Ovis aries: one gene and its partners. The protein of the gene in region 2 interacts with the protein of the main gene of each other region in a biochemical or structural test. Links are inferred from orthologs where the notes say so. Each region holds a gene or a part of one and is shown on either strand. Other genes may lie near its edges. The genes, in order: TNFAIP3, RIPK1, BIRC2, OTUD1 and CRADD.

Region 1 (3,514 bases), on a different chromosome or scaffold from region 2:
GCCGTAAACACTGAATCAATTTTCAAATGTAGACATCTAGACACTCTTTAACTCTGAAAAGGGACTCTAATTGCTAACAGGCGGGTTCACACAAGGCATTTATGGGAGGTAGGGGTGAGCAGGCTAGTAGGTAATTCCGTCTCAATCCCATTTTATAAATCAGGAGAGGAAACTCCCAGGCCCTGCTTGCTGTGGTGGGCTGGTCAAGTCATTTACCCCTGAGTCATGGCCAGACGGTCCCTGTCTAGTAAGCGGAGCCAGACCAGCTTCCTGGTTTGAGCATGTTGCTCTGGGTGTTCTCTCTCAGGGTCAGAGAGCAATAGGACCAGCATCTGAGCCAGAAGATCAAGGCTTGTTAGAAAGGAAGGGACTTCAGAGATCATAATCCAATACCCTCATCTCACAAAGAGGAAAAATACTCAGAGGTTAAAAAATTCCCCACTGAGGGCAGAACCAGACTGGAGTCAAGGTCTCCAGACTCTCAGTCCTTGGTTCCTTGGGCTTTGTTAGAAGCATTCATTAAACAGAAGAGTTACAAGAAAGATTTTTTATTTTTCCCTTAAAGCTGTCATCACCTAGTGAAATGTTACCAGCTGGTCCTTTGACAGGGAGGTGGGAAGAGGATTCAGGATTGGGAACACATGTACACCCATGTCGGATTCATGTTGATGTATGGCAAAACCAATTCAATATTGTAAAGTAATTAGCCTCCAATTAAAATAAATAAATTTAAATTAAAAAAAAGAAAGAAACTAAACCTTTGGCGTTTCTCACAAGCACTACTGGGTCCCCACTTACGGTAGCAGAGAGGCTGGTTTATTCTGGAAACCTCTGCTAGGCCTTAGATTCGGATTGCTAGAATTTGCTTCCCTTCTGTCCTCAGGTGACGGAAACTGCCTCATGCACGCGGCTTCTCAGTACATGTGGGGTGTTCAGGACACAGACTTGGTCCTGAGGAAGGTGCTCTTCAGCACCCTCAAGGAGACGGACACGCGCAACTTTAAATTCCGCTGGCAGCTGGAGTCTCTTAAGTCTCAGGAATTCGTGGAAACTGGGCTTTGCTACGACACCCGGGTATGTTGGGGTTCCTCCTCAAACATTTATTGACAGAGCTCCATGGTGGGAAAACTGCATCTCCAGCCAGTCCCTGCTGTCAGGGAGCATATGGTTTGCTGGGTCACGTGAACTTGGCTAAGCAGAGTCAATGGAAAACACCAGAAACCTCCCATGGGATGAACCCAAGGCCCTTGTCACTGCTGGGAGGCTCCCAGGCAGCATCTTCCCAGCTGGAGAGTCATTCTAGAATGATCTTTCTGATCACAGGTTTCCCTGTGGCATTTTGGCTGTTTGGGGAGTTTGATGACCCTTGCTTGCTTTACTGAGCCCGTCAGTCAGATTCAGAGGGCACCTCCCCATCTTCGGCCACAAGGCTGGGACTCTGTGCACAAGGAGCTCGGCGTGGTGTTTCAGCAGGGATTTTTCTGAAAGCAGGTGCTGTCCCCCTGCTCCTCTGCTTCTGAGTTTGCCTTGTAATGGGAAAAAGTAAAGGAAGAAAACCAGAATTGGGGGGAAAATGGGTGATAATTTGAGTGATGATCTTAAGAAAGGGTAAAAGTAAGCTCAGTGATACCAGTGAATAATTATAGAGTGGAGCCAAAGTTGTTTTTTAATGCAGAATGCATTCAATAGTTTCTTTCCTCTCCCCTTAGAATTGGACCGATGAATGGGACAACCTCGTCAAGATGGCATCCGCAGACACACCTGCAGCCCGAGGTGGACTGCAGTATCATTCACTGGAAGAAATACACATATTTGTCCTTTGCAACATCCTCAGAAGGCCAATCATTGTCATTTCAGGTGAGATGCCTGCTGATGGCGTCTCTGTATTTAGGTGCCTTTCAGCTTTAATCCCTTACCTCTTAGCATGACCCAAGTTCCAAGCATCCATAGCTAAATGGACTCCCATGAAAGTCTCAGAGGGCCTTATCTTTTCTTTCTCTTTCCTTAAACAGACAAAATGCTGAGAAGTTTGGAATCAGGTTCCAATTTTGCTCCTCTGAAGGTGGGTGGGATTTACCTGCCTCTGCACTGGCCTGCCCAGGAATGCTACAGATACCCCATTGTGCTCGGCTATGACAGCCAACACTTTGTACCCCTGGTGACCATGAAGGACAGTGGACCTGGTGAGAAAACCAAGCATCTATTCACATTTGTAACTGCTTCTGAATCCTGCTACACCCTGTTCTTACTGAACGTCAGGGTTTGCTCTTTGGCTCCTTTTTGAAAGCCTCATTTAAGTATATTAGTTTTATTTAAATATAGTATTCTGTAATTTGTTTGATTAGCAACAATAATGCACTCACACTAATCATAATGCCCCCCCCATCCCCTCTTGTTTTGTGTGTCGTTTGGGACCGACTTTGAGCATGTTAGTGGCAAATAGGAGATAATGTCTATTACTGCCACCATTTCTTAATTAACCCGTAATACAGTGCCTGGCCTGGGGCAAGTAAATGTCTGGCAGGCTAGCTATTACTGTACTAGCTTAATGTGGAACTAATAGGGTACTTTATAAATGCTTTAGGTACAATATTTTATTTCATTTCATCTTCACAGCATCCATGTGGATGCTATAAGCACTGATAGCCTTACTGTACAGATGAGGCACCTGAAGCTCAGAGAAGTTAAGTAACTTCCCTAATATCACAGAGCTGGATAGTGGCAGAGTCAGAATCTGAACTCAGGTCAGTCTGAATCTGAAGTGCAGTAATTTAACCAGTAAGACCCGCTGCTTGGAGGCTGCTTTATATTCTGTGAACTTCCTGGAAACAGTATATTTTATATTAGAGTTTAGCACAGTTTGTTTCCCCATTTGATTTTGTGGCTAGATAATACTTTTCCATTCTGTAATTGTATCCTTTCTGCATTTTCAAAATGCAGTCGTTATATATATATATGACCTCACACAAAATCTTGTTTAGTAGAATCATTTTGCTTACGTGCTATTTCTTTTTCCCTCAGAAATCCGAGCTGTTCCACTTGTTAACAGAGAGCGAGGACGATTTGAAGACTTAAAAGTTCACTTTTTGACAGTTCCTGAAAACGAGATGAAGGAAAATCTCCTGAAAGAGTACTTGATGGTGGTAGAAATCCCCGTTCAGGGCTGGGACCATGGCACCACCCATTTAATTAATGCTGCAAAGTAAGCAGTTTGTTTTTGGCTCTTTCCTGTGTCATCTTTAAGCTGCTTCTGCCTCAGAGACCAATAGTAAAGTTATTTGAAGCCAGTTTCCTCCAACGTGAAACAAATTTAGGGGCTTGTGTGTGTCAGAGACAATCAGCTTAAGTGGCACTGACTTTGGTTTTCAAATGAAAACAAGGAATTTTTCCAGAGGCTTGTCCTGTGTATCTGGATGCTTGGAAGCCAGCACGGTGGCTTCAAAAAGTGCGTTCACATCAAGGATACTTTTTTTTCTTTTAATTGCCCTAGTGCTAGACTAACAAGTGAAAATTC
Region 2 (4,292 bases):
GTCAAGTGCTCCTAACCGACTCGCGTGACAGCAGACTCTAAGGGATTGACTCTTGGACTCACGTGACACACTTAAAGAGAGCGCTACCCCTACTGGACCTGCATGTCATCTGGTGACCTGAGAGTAGACTGTTCAGAATTGAAGCAGATGACTTCTAATGAGACAGTTTTCCCAAAATACTCAGAACAGGCCTGTTGGAGTTGGTCACCACACTTTCGATGACGACACTTCAGATGATCGCCACTGTCTGTTATCCTGGAAATGTGTGAACTTTAGGCAAAAAGTGTTCACAGTTCTGCTACTCCTTGTTACTCAAATGGAACCTCAATAGGTTTGCAATCCACACTTTCCCTCGGATGTGAAATTGTACAAAGGAAAGGGCCTCCCTGGCATTGAGATACGAAGTCACTGACACACAAAAATCTCACACTTGGATCACCACTGCTTTCTGAGAGATTCTGATCAAAAGGGGGAAATGTAAAAAACAAACACACAAAAAACAAATCTCAAAGAGTCAGGAGATAGAAAGGCTGGAGAATCTTTTCTAGCAGAAATCTTTTTTTTTCCCCGGCAATGATTCAGCCCATGAAAAGCAGTGGACTTTTAAAACATCTCTCCAACTTCCTTTTCCCCCATAAAGGTGTCCTCTCCATTTGCATGCAAGTTCCCAGGGTGGCAGACCTCAAATTGCAATTCTTTTCATAATAAACTTGTTTATGCTAGAGAAATAGTTGGCAGTCCATTTATTTTAGGCAGACAATATGTGGTGGCATCTCATTGGTTTTTCACAGTTTCCTAATATCCTATAATATTGAGCATCTTTTCATATACTTACTTGTCATTTGTATCGTGAGAAGTCTGTTGAGATCTTTTGCCTTTTCTCAATTGCATTTTTCCTTCTCTGGCATTTCTAGTATACTTTGGGTAACAGTATTTTATCAGCTATGCTTTCTGCAAATATTTTCTCAGTTTGTGGCATCTCATTACCTCCAGATATCTTTTTATAGTATGTAATCATGCTATATATATAATCAACTTTTCATCATAACACTATAGCAACCATTTCCCATTTTGCTTCAGACTTCCCAACCATCCTCGTATGATGCTGGTTCCTCCGCAGCCCCACAGAAGAGATTATCCCCACTTCACAGGTGAAGGAGATAAATGCCTGGGAGCTTGCTGCCTAGGGTTCCCGCGCTGCTGACCTGCAGAGCTCAGAATCCCCCGGGGAAGCAGCCCATCGTCTCCGGCCCTGCCCGCCGCGCCCGGCAGGTTTCTGTGAGTGGTTTCCGTGACTCGGCATTTCCTCTGTCCTCTCGGCCTCCCAAACCGCTCTGAGAGCACGATCCTCAGTCTGAGCGCGTCCCGGGGTTTCAGAACGGGCCCGGAGACCTTTCCAGACGCGGGGCGGGCGCTCTCCCCACCCTCCTCAGGGGCAGGAGCGGAGGCGGAGCGAGCAGTCCACGCCCTCCGCCGGCCGGGCTCCCTCAGTCGAAGCGCCGGCGGCGCGGACACCGCATCGGTGTCCCGGAGCGCTGACCCCGGAGCGCGGGGCCCCAGCGGGCCCACTCCGCGAGGAGCCCGAGCGCGCCGACCACTGGACAGCACGCGACGGACGGCTGGCCCGCGGAGCCGGGCGCGGTGAGGGCAGGGCAAGGCGGGGCGGTCCCCGCCCGCCTCCCAGCCGACGGCTCCGCCCCGGAGACCCCTAATCGGGCCCGGCGTGCCACCCCGGCCTGCGCCGGCCAGGTACTGCCGGGCGTCGGAGCAACTCTAGGCTGCCCCGCCGCCTCCTTCCTCACCCGGCCTGGGGCCTCAGGAAGTCTCCCGCGAAAGCGAAAGCGAATCTCTCGGTGCGTCAGCGCGGGACCGCCGGGCCCAGACCAGTCTCTGGGGCAGGCTTCCGGCAGGGGGCGGGGCTTCTGCTTCCGGTGGGTGGGGCGGGCGACGCGGCTGCCGGAGTTCGGGCGGTGGGCGTGGCCCGCGGCGTTCCTGAGGTCTGGCGGTGGGCCAGTGGGGTGGTGGGCGTGGCCCGCGAGTTCTCAGAAGGCAGACGGTGGGCCTTTAGGGTGGTGGACGTGGCCCGCGAGTTCCCGGAAGTCAGACGGTGAGCCGGTAGGATGGTGGGCGTGGCCCGCGAGTTCCCGGAAGTCAGATGGTGAGCCAGTAGGAGGGTGGGCGTGGCCCGCGAGCTCCCGGAAGTCGAGCGCCCAACTGCCAGCCGTCGGCGGTCCCTGCGGCGTCTCGTCTCGCCGGGAGTTTGGGTCTGGCGGGACCGGGCAGAGATTTGGCTCCCGCGCGATAACTGCCTGAGGTGGAGACGGCCCGCCACGTGGTTTGCGCTGTGGTGTCAGGGGAGGTGGCCGGTCTTCCCTGCGGTGTCGTTACGAGCTTTCGCCGCCCCGGGTCACGGGGGCGCCGGGGCCGCCGCTGCTCGCGACGCCGTCAGACGCCTTCCCGCGCCGTCTTCGAGGAGAGCTGGGAAAGAAGGGTCGACGGGCACGGCGGGGAGGGCGTCGTCCCCCGGTGGCGCGTGCTTTTACTAAGTGACTGAGCGCGCACACGCTCTCGTAGCCTCTTTAGAGTTTTGAAGAGGGTGAGCGCCACCCTTCTTTGCTCACGCTGGACAGCCTCCCACAGAGGCGGGGTTACTGTTCATTACTTTGTCTCTCGCTGTTCCTTCGGCTCTTCCTTGCTCGGAGCTCTTGCGTGTCCTGGACAAAGCCCGAGGCCCGTTACACTCAAGCGACTTTGCAATAGAACCGCTATTACTTCTCCCTCCATTCACACATGAAGAAATCAAGGCAGGAGTGACTTCTTCCTTGATCTACGTTTTGTAACCATCAGGTACGTAGGTGCAAGAGTGGGGAGGAGATTGTAGTCAATTATAAGTATGGGGAACTGCCCCCTTCTAAACACAAAAGGGAAAGAGGAAGCTTGTTTAAAGCAGTTGAGGTATCTCATCATCGTAATTATTATTACTGGTAAAACAACTATCATGATTAACTGTAATTTGCATGCTTCACTGAGCTGAATTGAGCACCACAGATACATTGCACTTTCAGGATTGTGAATATTCACGAGAATAAAGAAAAATATCCCTAAATAACAGTTTCCAAAATTGAAAATTTCTCTTGGATGCTTATTAATCAACAACATGGTAATACCACCAGTATGAGCTGGGAATTTGAAAAAGCACAGCTTCCCATGCTATGGTTGGACGTTATACTTCGGCAAAAATGATCGTGTTAACCTGTAGAATATTGATTTTGAACCGCATGTTTTCATATGTTTTTAAAATTTAGTCTGTACTTTCCCTATGTTTCTGAATGTAGCATACTTATTTAGTATAGGTGAGCAAAATTGTAAGATTAGGTCTTTGAATCTGATTTTAAGGAAGACAAATTATTGTTTACTCTCTGGAGAAGTAGCATGTGTTACTGAACTGATAGTGGAAATTTGAGTGAAGACATTAAGACTCAATTCTGGGATCTGTTACTCTAGGTGAATCATTAAACTCCAAATTATAGTTTCTCAGTTTGTAACTTGGAACCGATGTATTAATAAGTTGGTACTTCACAGGGTCATCATGTGCAAGATACACTGGGTTGAACTCTTGTAGTTTTCTCTCTTGCTCAGAGCTCTTGTTTATCTGAGGCAAAGCATCAAGCAGTTAAAATCAAAGAACCTTGAGAAATTCCCATTGGATGCCTGAGTAAAAACAGAGTTCCATGTGCAGAGGAAAAGGGGGTCATGATAGTCGGGTAGCCAGCATTTTCTGTCAGACTCCTCATGTATGGTCCTCACTGAAACACTGAAAAAAATCGCCCTCAACCACTTAAAGGTAAATATGAAATTTTTTTAACTTAAAAAAATTATTTATTGTGATACACAGAAAAGAACACACATCATAACTGTTTGACTCTCTTAATTGTCCTGAAGTGAACATTAAGAAGAGACAAGTATCGCCCTCACGCCCGACACTTCCTTCCTTCCCTGCTGGCTGCTTCCACCTCTCAGTAACTACTGCCCTAAGTGTTAACATTGTAGATTCATTTTCCCTGGCTTTTTGATGTTATATATTGTTAGTTATTTGTATTCTTCCCCAGTTTTACTGAAGTATAGTTGACAAAATTGAATGTCGATATGAATATTTTTTATATAGACTTACAGATAACTTGTGAAGTTTCTTGGAATTTCCAATTAATTTCAATTAATTTCCAATTAATTTCAATTAATTTTCCAATTAATTTTGAAAATCCATTAAAATAGACCGTTATATTCTCTGTTGA
Region 3 (3,514 bases), on a different chromosome or scaffold from region 2:
ATCCAGACAGAAAGTTACTAAGGTAACAGCAGACTAAATAACACTTTACACTAAATGCCAGATGTAGCTAAAATTATAAACTATAATCAGAATATGTATTTCCTACCCTTGCACTAAAATACTACATACCAGGCAAATACTTTTCTAGCCCAATTCTCAAATCATGTAACCTGGCCCTTTCCAAACATGATAGTTTATACCAAATTTTCCCTCTTTGGAGGGCTTACTATTTGCTCCTCTCATTTGGTATTCCTATTTTGTCTCCCCAATTAGAATATAAGCACTTTAAGAACAAAAACTAGAATACTTCCAAGAATCCTCTAAAAATGTCATGAATCTTAGAAGATAGATGTGTGTGTATGTGCTCAGTCGCTCAGTCATGTCCGACTCTCTGCAACCCCATGGACTGCAGCCTGCCAGGCTCCTCTGTCCATGGAATTCTCCAGGCAAGAATACTGGAGTGGGTTGCCATTCCCTTCTCTAGAGGATAGAAAACGTACATAATATTTATTAGCTAACTTCTTAGCACTTTTTTCTATAACCCTAGAAATCCTTTATATACAAACTTTTATTTTCAATACTCTTAAATCCTATTCTTTATTCGGGATATTTTCATACATACTTGGTGGATCAGCATTTTCATCTCCAGGAGTATTTGCAGTTGACAACAGCTATGAAACAGGACAAAAAAAAAAAAAAAAAAGGTAAAATCCAGAATCTCAAACAATCTGAGCATAGCAACATTAAGGTAAGTTTATCTTAAGTACTATGCACATGCTTTGAAAACTGGGTAGTTTACATACTGCACTTTGCTATGCTTTATCTTAATCACCATAAAATATTTCCTTAAACTTCAGTTAATTCCATATTAGAATTTAAGTATCAGGAAAGCAGGAAAAAGTATTAATGGTTTCTCATTCCACTTAGAAAGTTGTATTTCAGCTTAACCACTCTCTGAGGTTCCAAATTCCTAAAAAGTTATTTTTTGTTTATTTTTCTCAAAAAGACGGAGTAGATACTAAAGACTCTTCTCCAACCCTACCACAAATCTGTACAGGGGCAGGTTATGTGACTTTTCAAAAAACTAAAAAATAGTTTTTAAAAGCCATGAACAGACAAGGTAGTCTGAAAATAAAACTTAAAAGTGTCATTAAGATGGACATAAAACATATAACTATAATTAACTTTAAAAAGATATAAAGATCACTTTTAATCATATTTTGTAATTGTTATCTAGGAGAATCCAATGTTGCCAATTATAAAAACATATTTACCTGTTCAAGAAGATGAGGATATCTAGCTTGAATCTCACTAACAAACTCCTGCCCTTTCATGCGTATCAAGAACTCACACCTAAAACATAAAAGGAAAATTTTTAAAATTCTTTTATGCCAAAAATATACTCTGATCATTCTAGAAATGCGGTTTTCAAACTCTTGGACTATATCCCATAGTACAAACATTTTACATCACAACCTAGTACACATATACACCTAACAGAAACAAAATTCTCATAAAACATCACAAATTTTTACTATGTATTGATACATTCTGATTTTTTTAATTACATTAATACAACAATAAAGGAGTCTGGACCTCAAAGGAGAAAAAGCTAAGACTTAGAAAATGCTGTTCCAGACAATTTACTTTGCGAGTTTAACATAAGTTTCAGGAACTGTAATGTGGTATGCCTAAAATATGATCTTTCACAAAATGACTGCTAATCTTTCTCCACTGTCCACTCTTCCATTATACAGAAAGCACAAATCCCCTAAAAAAATAGAGTATCAAGTATTTTCATCTATATATACTGTGACAGTGTTTCCCAAATACTTGCTTTCAAATTACTAGAATTTCTCAATGGTTATTCCAGGAAGTTCATATAACATTTGTTTCTATTTCTTCCCTTTTGATTTTTCAACAAATGGACATAGACAACTCAATATTCATAAATATTAGCCTTTATCTATGTCCATACTGTACACAGAAACAAACTAAAAATGGACCAGATGCTTAAATACAAAACCTAAAACAATATAACTTCTAGAAGAAAACACAGGAGACAATCTTTTTGTCCTTAGGTTAAGTAAAGATTTCTTAGCTAATAAACCAACAGCATAATCCATAAAAGATAAATTGATAAACTGACATCATCAAAATTAAAAACTCCTGCTCATCAAATACACTGTTAAAAAGATAAAAAAGAAAGTCACAGACTGAAATGTTCCAGAACACACCTGATGCAGAACCTGTATCTAGAATACATTAAGAACTCTCAAAACCTAGCAATTAAAAAAAAAAAACAACTTCTTGAAAAGAGACACTTCATCAAAGAAAACACAGTTCCAAGAATGAAGAACCCACAGATACAAAGGGCTGACTCTACTATGTCTTATGAGGAACTTGAGCACCCATGGATTTTGGTTTCTTGAGGGGAAACCCTGGGAGTGTCCTGGAACCAATTCCTTGCTGACACTGAGGGACAACTTATATAGACAACAAATAAACATCATTAATCACTAAGGAAATGCTAATTAAAATCACAGTGAAATACCACTACACATCTATTAGAATGGCTAAAATAAAAAAGATACTACCACATGTCATTAAGAATCTGGAATACTTGGAGGTCTCATACATTCCTGGTGTGAATTTAAAATGATACAGCCACTTCAGAAAACAATCTGGTAGTTTCTTCTAAAGTTACAATGGTAAATAAAACTTGCCATCCAACCCACTAATCCCAATTCTAAGTATTTAAAGTATTTACCTAAATGAAATGAAAACAAGTTCACAAAGGTTTACTAATTTTTAGAGTGGCTTTACTCATTATTGCTCCAAAATGGAAACAACCCAATGTCCTTCAGGTGGTGACTGAGGTAGATTTAGTAGAGATCATGTAAACATGCTCATGACTCAAGTCATCATGCCGAGAACACAGCTTGTTCCTGATCTTAATATAGGTCTAAATTATTTTTATTCTGGGATTAACTTATAATGATTAAAGATAGGAAGTATACTGAACATTGGCTGCTCCATATTTCCTCCTTCCAATAAATTCTATGAGGACTAAGATTTCTGTCGTATCTTATTCACTGTTAATATCTCCAGCATCTAAAGTAGTATTCACAAGCATATAGGGAAATAGGTGAAAGTGATTTAGATATAAAATTCAATGATAAAATAAATAAGCCATGGGGACATAATATACATACAGCAAAAACAATGTGGTTAGAAGCAATTATGACTTTGTTGTTGAAGTGTTAGTCGCTCAGTCGTGGCCGAGTCTTTGTGAACTCCATGGACTGTAGCCCGCGAGGCTCCTCTGTCCATAGAGTTCTCCAGGCAAGAATCCTGGAGTGGGCAGACATTCCCTTCTCCAGGGGATCTTCCCCACCCAGAGATCAAACCCAGGTCTCTTGCATTACAGGCAGATTCTTTACTGTCTGAGTCACAAGGGAAGCCAAAAGCAATTTTTATACTTCAAAGAAAAAAAAAAATTTTAATATGGTCA
Region 4 (4,303 bases), on a different chromosome or scaffold from region 2:
GTATTGTACAAAAAAAATCACAAAATGTTACAAAATAAAAAAGTACAAACTGCATTACTTAATAAATACCACTAAAAGTAGTTAAAGTGGAAATGAGATAGATTTTAGGTTGAAAACATTGTTTGACCCAGCAAACCATACAAGCTCTGTATAGACATTTGTACTGTACATAATGCAGGGCAATCCTATTTTGCCTTGTGAAAGAATTTAAAAGGAATAGACCATTAAGACAGTATTCTCCTGCTATAAAATAATTGCCAGGGTTGATTGGAGGCATTTATGCCATTAATTTTCAAATCTCTCAGTTGAATCCAAGAAACTATATATGAAGCAGGAGGCTTATCTTGTCACAAAGTTTTCTATCATGTTAAAAAATTCTTTTCAACAAAAGACAAATATAAATAAGAACAACCGAGAGCACCAGACAATCTAAACATCAACTGGAGTACAGAATAATCACTCTGCCATCAGCAAATATCAGACTTTCATTCAAGTAAGAGCTGGTACTATTCTTTAAAAAAAAAAATCTTCCCACAACCTCCCCTTAAGTATTTTCTCTTTAAAAGGTTGACCATTTCTAGAAAAATAATGATTTTCCAAACAACTAATCTGTCATCAAAACGGAATGGGCCAATTATCTGGTAACATGAAAGCATCAATAGCCATTTGAAATAATTATCTAAGAACTCTAAAATTCAAATCCAACAACATAAAATACGAAATCACAAACTCTGCTCAAAATAATAAACTTCATATAAAGCACTTCTCTGGATTTATGCCGGAAAGCTGTTTGTCAAAATGGATCACATCCTAGATGAAGGTACACCAATTGTTAAAAATGTTGTGCAAAAATACGTTTTTATAGAAAATAGATTACCAGGAATGAACAAATTTACACTGAGAAATCAGCTTGCAAATTAAGTAGTGCCAACTTTATACAGCAAATCATAAATAGCAGTAGGATCACCCAAAGCTACTATGAAACATCATTTAGGTGCCCAGCAACCTTCAGCTCTGAGGAGAAAACATTCAAAAAAATGATTAAGGCATTACACCTACAGTAAATCTACTAGAAAGTTTAAAAGTGCAATTACCCTGATTAAAGTTCATATAACTCTCCAAACACAAATTAGGTATGCAATTTTCCCAGGCCGAGGGTCTCAGACACTTCAAGAGCATGCATTTTGCTCAATATACATTTTGGACAGGGATATGGCCATGGACTTCGCAAGTTCTTCATCGCGTTTTCTCTGCACTTGAGTCTGCCTGCACCAAGTGTCATACTCCGGGTTCGGATACGAGTGATCAAACACCGCGTCATAATGTCCGTTACTGAGCCAACTGAGCCAAATGCTAGGCCTTAGGGAATCCTCCGGGCCCAAATAGTGAATCATGGTAGACACCGTGGGGCTCTCCAGCCTCCCTCCAGTAGTCAGATGGATATTCACATTCAGCATCTGCCCCATGGCCAGCAGTTCGGGGTACCCGGCCCAGGCCCCGTCCTGGGCAGCAGCGATGATAAACTCCCCCACGTCGCCCTCAATCAAGGGGCTAAAGTGGTCGAGATGGTCGGCGATATAGTGCACCGTCTGTTCCCGTAGCTCCCGGTGCAGGCTCTGGTCCCCGTACACCGCCTTGCTTACCGCCCGGTAGAGGCAGTTGCCGTCGGGAATGATGTGAAATCGGTACTTGTTCCTCTGCCGCAGGTACTTGTCCTGCCTCTCCACCTCCGCCAGGTACAGGGCCAGCTTCTCGTCCCTAGGATCCGACCTGGACACGATCACCGCCTCGGTCGCGCCGCCCGGGGCCGCCTCGCCGCTCCGGGCCGGGGCCGCCTCGGCCTCCGGGTCGGGTCGCCCCGGCTCTTCGGCGCCGGGAGCGTCGCCGCGGTCGCCAGCTCTGTCCCAGCCGCGGAGGTTCCTCTCTGCCGGGCGCTCCTCGGCCCACGGGCCAGGGCCGGGCTCCGGGCTTCCCGGGGGCGGCGCGGGGCCGCGGTGCTTGGCGGCGGCCAGGGCCTGGCGGTGCTCGCTCAGTCGGAAGTTTCTGTCGGGCCCCTCGCGGGTCGCGTCCAGACCGGCAGGCTCCGGGCCATCGGGCCTCAGCAGCTCCTCCAGAAGCCAGGCCGAGGAGCCCCGCCGCGGCGGGATCGGAGCGCCTGGTGCCGGGGCCAGCAGGAGGCAGCGGCCGCGTGGGGCGGCGGAAGCCGCGGCGCCGGGCTCGGGGCCGCGCAGCAGGAGCCGGTCGGCGCCCAGGGCCCGCACGGTGATCTGCGCTGTGGACGTGTAGTGCGGCGGCAGAGGCGGCTTGCAGGACCCGCCGGGCGGCCCGGCGGCGGCGGCGGCCGAGGCGGGGGCGGCGGCCCCGGACACCATCTCGAAGCAGGAGGAGAAGGCGGGCATCTTGGCGGCGGGAGCGGCGGCGGCTTCGCGGGGCTCGGCGGCCGCGGCCGGCTGGCACTCACCGGTCTCGGGCTCCGGGGCGCCACCGGCGGGTCCCGGGGGCTGCAGAGAGACCTTGAACGAGGCGGCAGTGGCGGCGGCGGGCGGAGCGGCGGTTGCGGCCGTGGGACCCGGGCCCCCGGCTGGGTAGTGGGTGCAGACGCTGCTGTAGAGCTGCATGTCCCTGCCCGCCGCTCGGCCCCTTATAGGCGCGCCGAGCCCTAGTGAGGGGACACACCCTCCGGGCCCGGGGGAGGGGGCCGGCCGAGCGCGGTGACCCAGTGCCCTGAGAATAGAAATGACCGAAGGGCCGCCGGCGCGTCAGGAGCTGCAAATAGCGCCCGGGTCCCCGCCAAATTCCTGCTGCGCCACAGCGCGCGGTGGGGGCGGGGAGGGGACGCGCGCTCGACCCCTGCCGGCGCTAGCGGCCCGCAGACCCGGGACGCGTGCGCCCGCCGTCGCTGCTCCGGCCCGCGGCGGCCGCTGAGGACTCTCAGAGGTAGCCGCCCGCCCTGCTGGAGCGCGTCCCGCCGGCTAGCAGCTCTGCAGGGCGCGCGGACGAGCCAGGAGGCGGGGCCACGGTTGTTTACCTCAGGCAGCGCTGCCGCGTCACGTGCCCTTATTGGAATGTGCGGCTCGTCGCGGCGTCCCATTCAACCGCCGGGGCTCGCCCCACCCCCTCCGTCTCGCCCCGCCCCATTCGGTGACGTCATGGGCGTGGCCCGCAGCGCGGGCGACGGGCGCGCGGGCGGGAGGGCGCGGAGGCCTGTGCAGCCGTGGCCGCTGCCCCACCTCAGTGTTAGTTTCTAGGCGCCGCGCTTTTCTACGCTTTAGCGGTGGATCTTAGAGGGTTCGGGGCAGCTTGGGGCGGCCAAGAGTGCTGAAAGTGCGTTTCAAAACAAGCTTCCGAGTTCTGCGTGGGGACAGCTGCCCTAAAACCTGCATGGCCTCTGCATGGTCATTGCACCACTGCCATCTTTTTCACTCAACCCTGAGATTATATTGTTAACGTAGCAGTGTGACGCCTCCCTTTCTCCCCAGCACCTTGCCGCCCTGCTAAACCGAAACCAACTTTTCTGCTGTCCTAACCCGTATTTGATAAGCAAATACAAGTCTTGGGTGAAATACCAAATGCCTAACCGGGCCTCTTGAAAATAGGTGCAGCTGTTCACCGTAGGTCAGCGGTAAAGAGGGTCGTGATGCATTGCGAGAATGTTGAAATTGAATAGAATCTTGAACATAGTTCTACCCTATTGTGTTAGATGTCCCTGTTTGTAAAGGAAAGCTAAAATGGTCATGATCAACTTGTATACTGACTGTATAGCAGTGGGCAGCTCTTGCTATATTCTCAGCTTTGATCACATGCTAACTGACAGACCCTAAATGTTCAGAGTGAACCTACAAAGCTGTTTCACTGTTTCAGTGATGAGGAAATAGCTTATGTTATGGTATAAGCCTCCCCACTCCACGTATTGTTTTGTGAATCTTAGGTTCCCTGAATGGAAAGACTTAGTCTTGATGGCTATTATAGTTACAAACCCAGCACAGAGGCTGGCACATAGATGGAACTAATTAATATTTATTGAATGAGTTAATTAATGGAAGAGGAGTTCCCAAAACAGTGGAAAAGGCAGAATTACGATCCTGGTCTCCTGACCCCTAGCCAGAGCTTCAATTTGCCGTCGTGCGTGTGACTGACAGGATCCCAGCTGCCTTTGCCCAGGTCACTTGAACCTGTTAGGTAGGTCAACTGGAAGGAAAAACAACCACATAAAAGTCTAACCGTCTTTTCAGCTTCTGGTGACACCCCACTGTAAGCTTGTAGACCCCACTGGCTAACTAGAAAAAGGAAGTTACCTAAATTT
Region 5 (3,514 bases), on a different chromosome or scaffold from region 2:
CCACTAATAAAATGTCATCTAACTGAGTGCAGTCCAGCCCAGCTGTACTCCCTCATCCATAAATGCGGTGAGAACAAAAGCTGAAATAACTCTCTGTTAGCAAATCCGGGGGACGAACAGCAACGCAAGTCCAGAGTTCAAAGTGACAAGCAGTTATTGAAGATACTGCGGAAGTACAGTCACTCAGTGCAATGATGAGGCCAAAAGTTTAAGGATTTTACAAGATCATGAATTAATGACTGGACTACAGGATGGAAAATTAGAGGTGATAAGACCAGTGAGCCAAACTGCCAAACTGCTGGACTGTTAAATAACTGATCCTTTTTAGGAAAGAGAATATGGTTACCAGACACCTGACAGAATGTAATTAACACACCACTGTCATCGTCTTGAAGACCTACCTTCTGTCAAACCTCACTACTCCTATGCTTCCCCTCAGAATATTTTTCCCTTTGAAGAATTCTGAGTTAGGTTGGTATTGGGAAATAGATTCTCCAATTATTCCAAAGGATGGATCACAAATGGGAATGTTCACCTGTTACTGTTTAAAATAAATTATTATGACTTAGTTATTTGGCTATCCTGGGCCTTAGTTGTGGCATGAGGATCCCTCAGTCTTTACCTGCAGCATGTACACTTCTAGCTGCAGAATGTGGAATCTAGTTTCCTGACCAGGGATCGAACCTGGGCCGCCTGCATCGAGAGCATAAGTCTTAGTCCCTGGACCACCAGGGAAGTCTGCACTCTCTTTATTGGACTCATAATAGCATTAATAAAAGCAGATCACCTTTTAAAGCTTGACCAGAAACATGGTAACAGCACTTCCTCCTACAGAACCCTCAGCTTTAGCCACTGGTCCCCTTGACCTGGGAACTGTATCCATGTTTAGCCACGGCAGAAAATTAACAGCTACCATTTCCCAAGAGCTGACGACGGGCCAGGCACTGGATGAGCCCAAGGCAGACGTTATTCTTTCACTTGTCACAAGTATCTTGGAGGTGAGGACAGTCATTGCCTCACTCTACAAATGAGGAGACTGAGGCTTAAAGAAGTAAAGTAACTTGTCCAGGGAGATGCTGCTAGTAAATCACTCCATCTTGCTACAGGATGGAGCTCACCTCTTGCTCAACTACTTCACAGGCTTTTTGTGAGATCCAAATGAGATCCTATGTACTAAAGGCCTTGAAAACAGTAGAGCATTTGACAAATAGCATGTGTTATTTTAAAAAGTCAGAAGACTAGGTCATAGATAGACCTTAGGAGCATAACGCGTCAATCATCACAGCTTCAGGAGAAAGACCACACTGTCCCCCAACCTCCAGTTCTTTAAATAAAGGGCACAGGATTTTCTTAAGCAAATCTTTTAAAGCTAAAGGGCTCAGGTATGCATGCTGGTACTTGAACTGGTCTTTGCAGGGAGCTTTAGTGTCTTAACTTCAATGCAGACACCCTGCCTGAGCTATTCATCCTGACTAGAGCAAGTAACTATTCCACTGTTACTATCAATTCTGTTCTAAAGACACAACTACCATAATTTTATACCCTAAATCTAGGCAATACAAGAATGAAAGGGGGAAAAAAAGCAATACTTTCTCATGAAAGGGCTACATTATATACAGCAATTTGTTTTTATTATTGTCATCATTAATAGTTAAGTCCACTGTAGAGTTCCCAGGCAACATAAAAGTGGGTGATTTATACACAGAATACCTGTATTTTTTTTTTTAACGAGTAGGACTCACCAGTCTATTAAAAGGCAACCACACAATTAAAACCTGCACAATTCAAAAAATGCAGTATTTGAGCAATTAGAAAGTCAACTGTCAATTCATTCTGGCAAATCTCCTGAGTAATCCCGCTTGTCAACTAACGTCAAGTGCAAATTCCACTATTTCCTCTCATCTAAAAATCACCATGACAAAGAAACAACCCCACCCCCAAATCTACCTGCCCTGGTGAGAGTCTCGATTCAGCCATGTGACTAGCCCCAAGCATGGACGAGGGCCCAGTCATTCCAACATGTGCTGGAGCACCGAGGGGTCCACGTCCACTGCCTGGAGGCCCCTGTGCAGGCTCTGGAAGGTGGCCTCCTTCCCGAAGCGCTGCCTCCAGCGCACGAAGGCCTCCACCACCTGGGACTGCACGTTGTGGGGATGGTTGGCCTTACAGCGGTAGATGTCTGTCTGGGATAGCCCCAGAGACAGCACCACAGGCTCCCACTCGGGGCCCAGCCTCAGGGCCAGCTGGTTGATCTGCCGGTCGGACGGGGAGCTGTGCAGGATGTGCGGGGGGATTCCAGCCATCCGGGCATCTGGGGAGGAGAAAGACACCATGGTGAAGAGAGGGAGGCAACATATTAGACAGCGAGAAAAGGGTTAGGTGCTCAACTGTGTCTGACTCTACGTGACCCCATGGACTAGAGCCCGCCAGGCTCCTCTGTGCATGGGTTTCTCCAGGCAAGAACACTGGAGTGGGTAACCATTCCCTTCTCCAGGGGATCTTCCCAACCCAGGGATTGAACCCAGGTCTTCTGCACTGCAGGCAGATTCTTTACTGTCTGAGCCACCAGGGAAGCCCAAACACATCAGACGGGCAGGGCCAGGCAGAAATGATGACACACATCCCAAGCGTCAGGGGCCAACTTTTAGTCTTCACAGGGGCTGCTCAGCAAAAAGCCATATGCAGGGGCTTAAGAAGCACTTAGCACCTAGGGATAGGTTTATTACAGAAAATGTGAAAACAAGAAAATAAAAATAACCTGAAATCCCATCAGAGAAACACCCATTCAAAATACTTCGGTCTATTTCTTTTCAGTCTTTTTAAAAAAATTTTTTTATTTTTACTTTATTTTCAGTCTTTTATGCATAAAACATACATTTAGGATTACACTGCGGGTACTGCTCAGATGTTAAAGAATCTGCCTGCAATAGAGCAGACCCAGGTTCAATCCCTGGGTAGGGAAGATCCCCTGGAGAAGGGAATGGCAACCCACTCCAGTATTATTGCCAGGAGAACTCCATGGGCAGAGGAGACTGGCAGGCTATGGTCCATGGGGTTACAAAGAGTTGGACACAGCTGAGCAACTAACACACACGATACCTTGTAACACGCATTTTTCACTTTCATCTCCTTCACTAGGGAGGCCAAGCTGAAGCTTCTGGGGGCACCTAAGGATGCCTTTGTGGCCCTCCTCCCTCTGGAACTGGCCTGTGGTGTTGCGTCCTGTAGGAATGGCCAGTGCTAGAGGGTAATTTGCTAGAGGGTAACGGGCTGTACAGAACAGCTAGTCTCTCCTGACCAACGTGAACACCTCCGAGAAAAGTGACAGTTGCTACAGAAGCATGAGCTAAGAAAGGCCCGAAGCAAGAAATAAAAGGCCATGAGGGAGCAGCACAGATCACGGGAGAATGACCACCTGGCTGAGCTCAGAAGAGAGCAAGCATGCGCTGCCGACAGCAGTGGCAGAGCCTGACAGTGCAGCCCCTAAACGGGAGCCCTGTCTCCCCAAGGCCAG

The links.
Region 1: of the proteins of RIPK1 (region 2) and TNFAIP3, one has a biochemical effect on the other in vitro, tested with the Homo sapiens proteins (2 studies listed by BioGRID). The link is inferred for Ovis aries from reciprocal best matches to the Homo sapiens genes RIPK1 and TNFAIP3.
Region 3: of the proteins of RIPK1 (region 2) and BIRC2, one has a biochemical effect on the other in vitro, tested with the Homo sapiens proteins (6 studies listed by BioGRID, with this or other methods). The link is inferred for Ovis aries from reciprocal best matches to the Homo sapiens genes RIPK1 and BIRC2.
Region 4: of the proteins of RIPK1 (region 2) and OTUD1, one has a biochemical effect on the other in vitro, tested with the Homo sapiens proteins (2 studies listed by BioGRID). The link is inferred for Ovis aries from reciprocal best matches to the Homo sapiens genes RIPK1 and OTUD1.
Region 5: the proteins of RIPK1 (region 2) and CRADD form a complex in vitro, tested with the Homo sapiens proteins (2 studies listed by BioGRID). The link is inferred for Ovis aries from reciprocal best matches to the Homo sapiens genes RIPK1 and CRADD.

Annotation. Positions count from the first base shown.
Region 1 is NC_056061.1:63,031,977-63,035,490, forward strand, and holds part of TNFAIP3 (tumor necrosis factor alpha-induced protein 3), read left to right. Parts: intron 1-883; coding exon 884-1,074; intron 1,075-1,709; coding exon 1,710-1,857; intron 1,858-2,012; coding exon 2,013-2,183; intron 2,184-3,021; coding exon 3,022-3,202; intron 3,203-3,514. UniProt on the Homo sapiens protein: Ubiquitin-editing enzyme that contains both ubiquitin ligase and deubiquitinase activities.
Region 2 is NC_056073.1:49,697,685-49,701,976, reverse strand, and holds the start of RIPK1 (receptor-interacting serine/threonine-protein kinase 1), read left to right. Parts: upstream 1-1,489; 5' UTR 1,490-1,749; exon of another isoform or gene 1,750-1,920; intron 1,921-2,197; exon of another isoform or gene 2,198-2,847; intron 2,848-3,582; exon of another isoform or gene 3,583-3,844; intron 3,845-4,292. UniProt on the Homo sapiens protein: Serine-threonine kinase which is a key regulator of TNF-mediated apoptosis, necroptosis and inflammatory pathways.
Region 3 is NC_056068.1:6,036,678-6,040,191, forward strand, and holds part of BIRC2 (baculoviral IAP repeat-containing protein 2), read right to left. Parts: intron 1,354-3,514; coding exon 1,275-1,353; intron 672-1,274; coding exon 623-671; intron 1-622. UniProt on the Homo sapiens protein: Multi-functional protein which regulates not only caspases and apoptosis, but also modulates inflammatory signaling and immunity, mitogenic kinase signaling, and cell proliferation, as well as cell invasion and metastasis.
Region 4 is NC_056066.1:23,757,026-23,761,328, reverse strand, and holds the start of OTUD1 (OTU domain-containing protein 1), read right to left. Parts: upstream 2,811-4,303; 5' UTR 2,619-2,810; coding exon 1,170-2,618; 3' UTR 1-1,169. UniProt on the Homo sapiens protein: Deubiquitinating enzyme that specifically hydrolyzes 'Lys-63'-linked polyubiquitin to monoubiquitin.
Region 5 is NC_056056.1:130,163,169-130,166,682, reverse strand, and holds part of CRADD (death domain-containing protein CRADD), read right to left. Parts: intron 2,312-3,514; coding exon 2,010-2,311; 3' UTR 1-2,009. UniProt on the Homo sapiens protein: Adapter protein that associates with PIDD1 and the caspase CASP2 to form the PIDDosome, a complex that activates CASP2 and triggers apoptosis.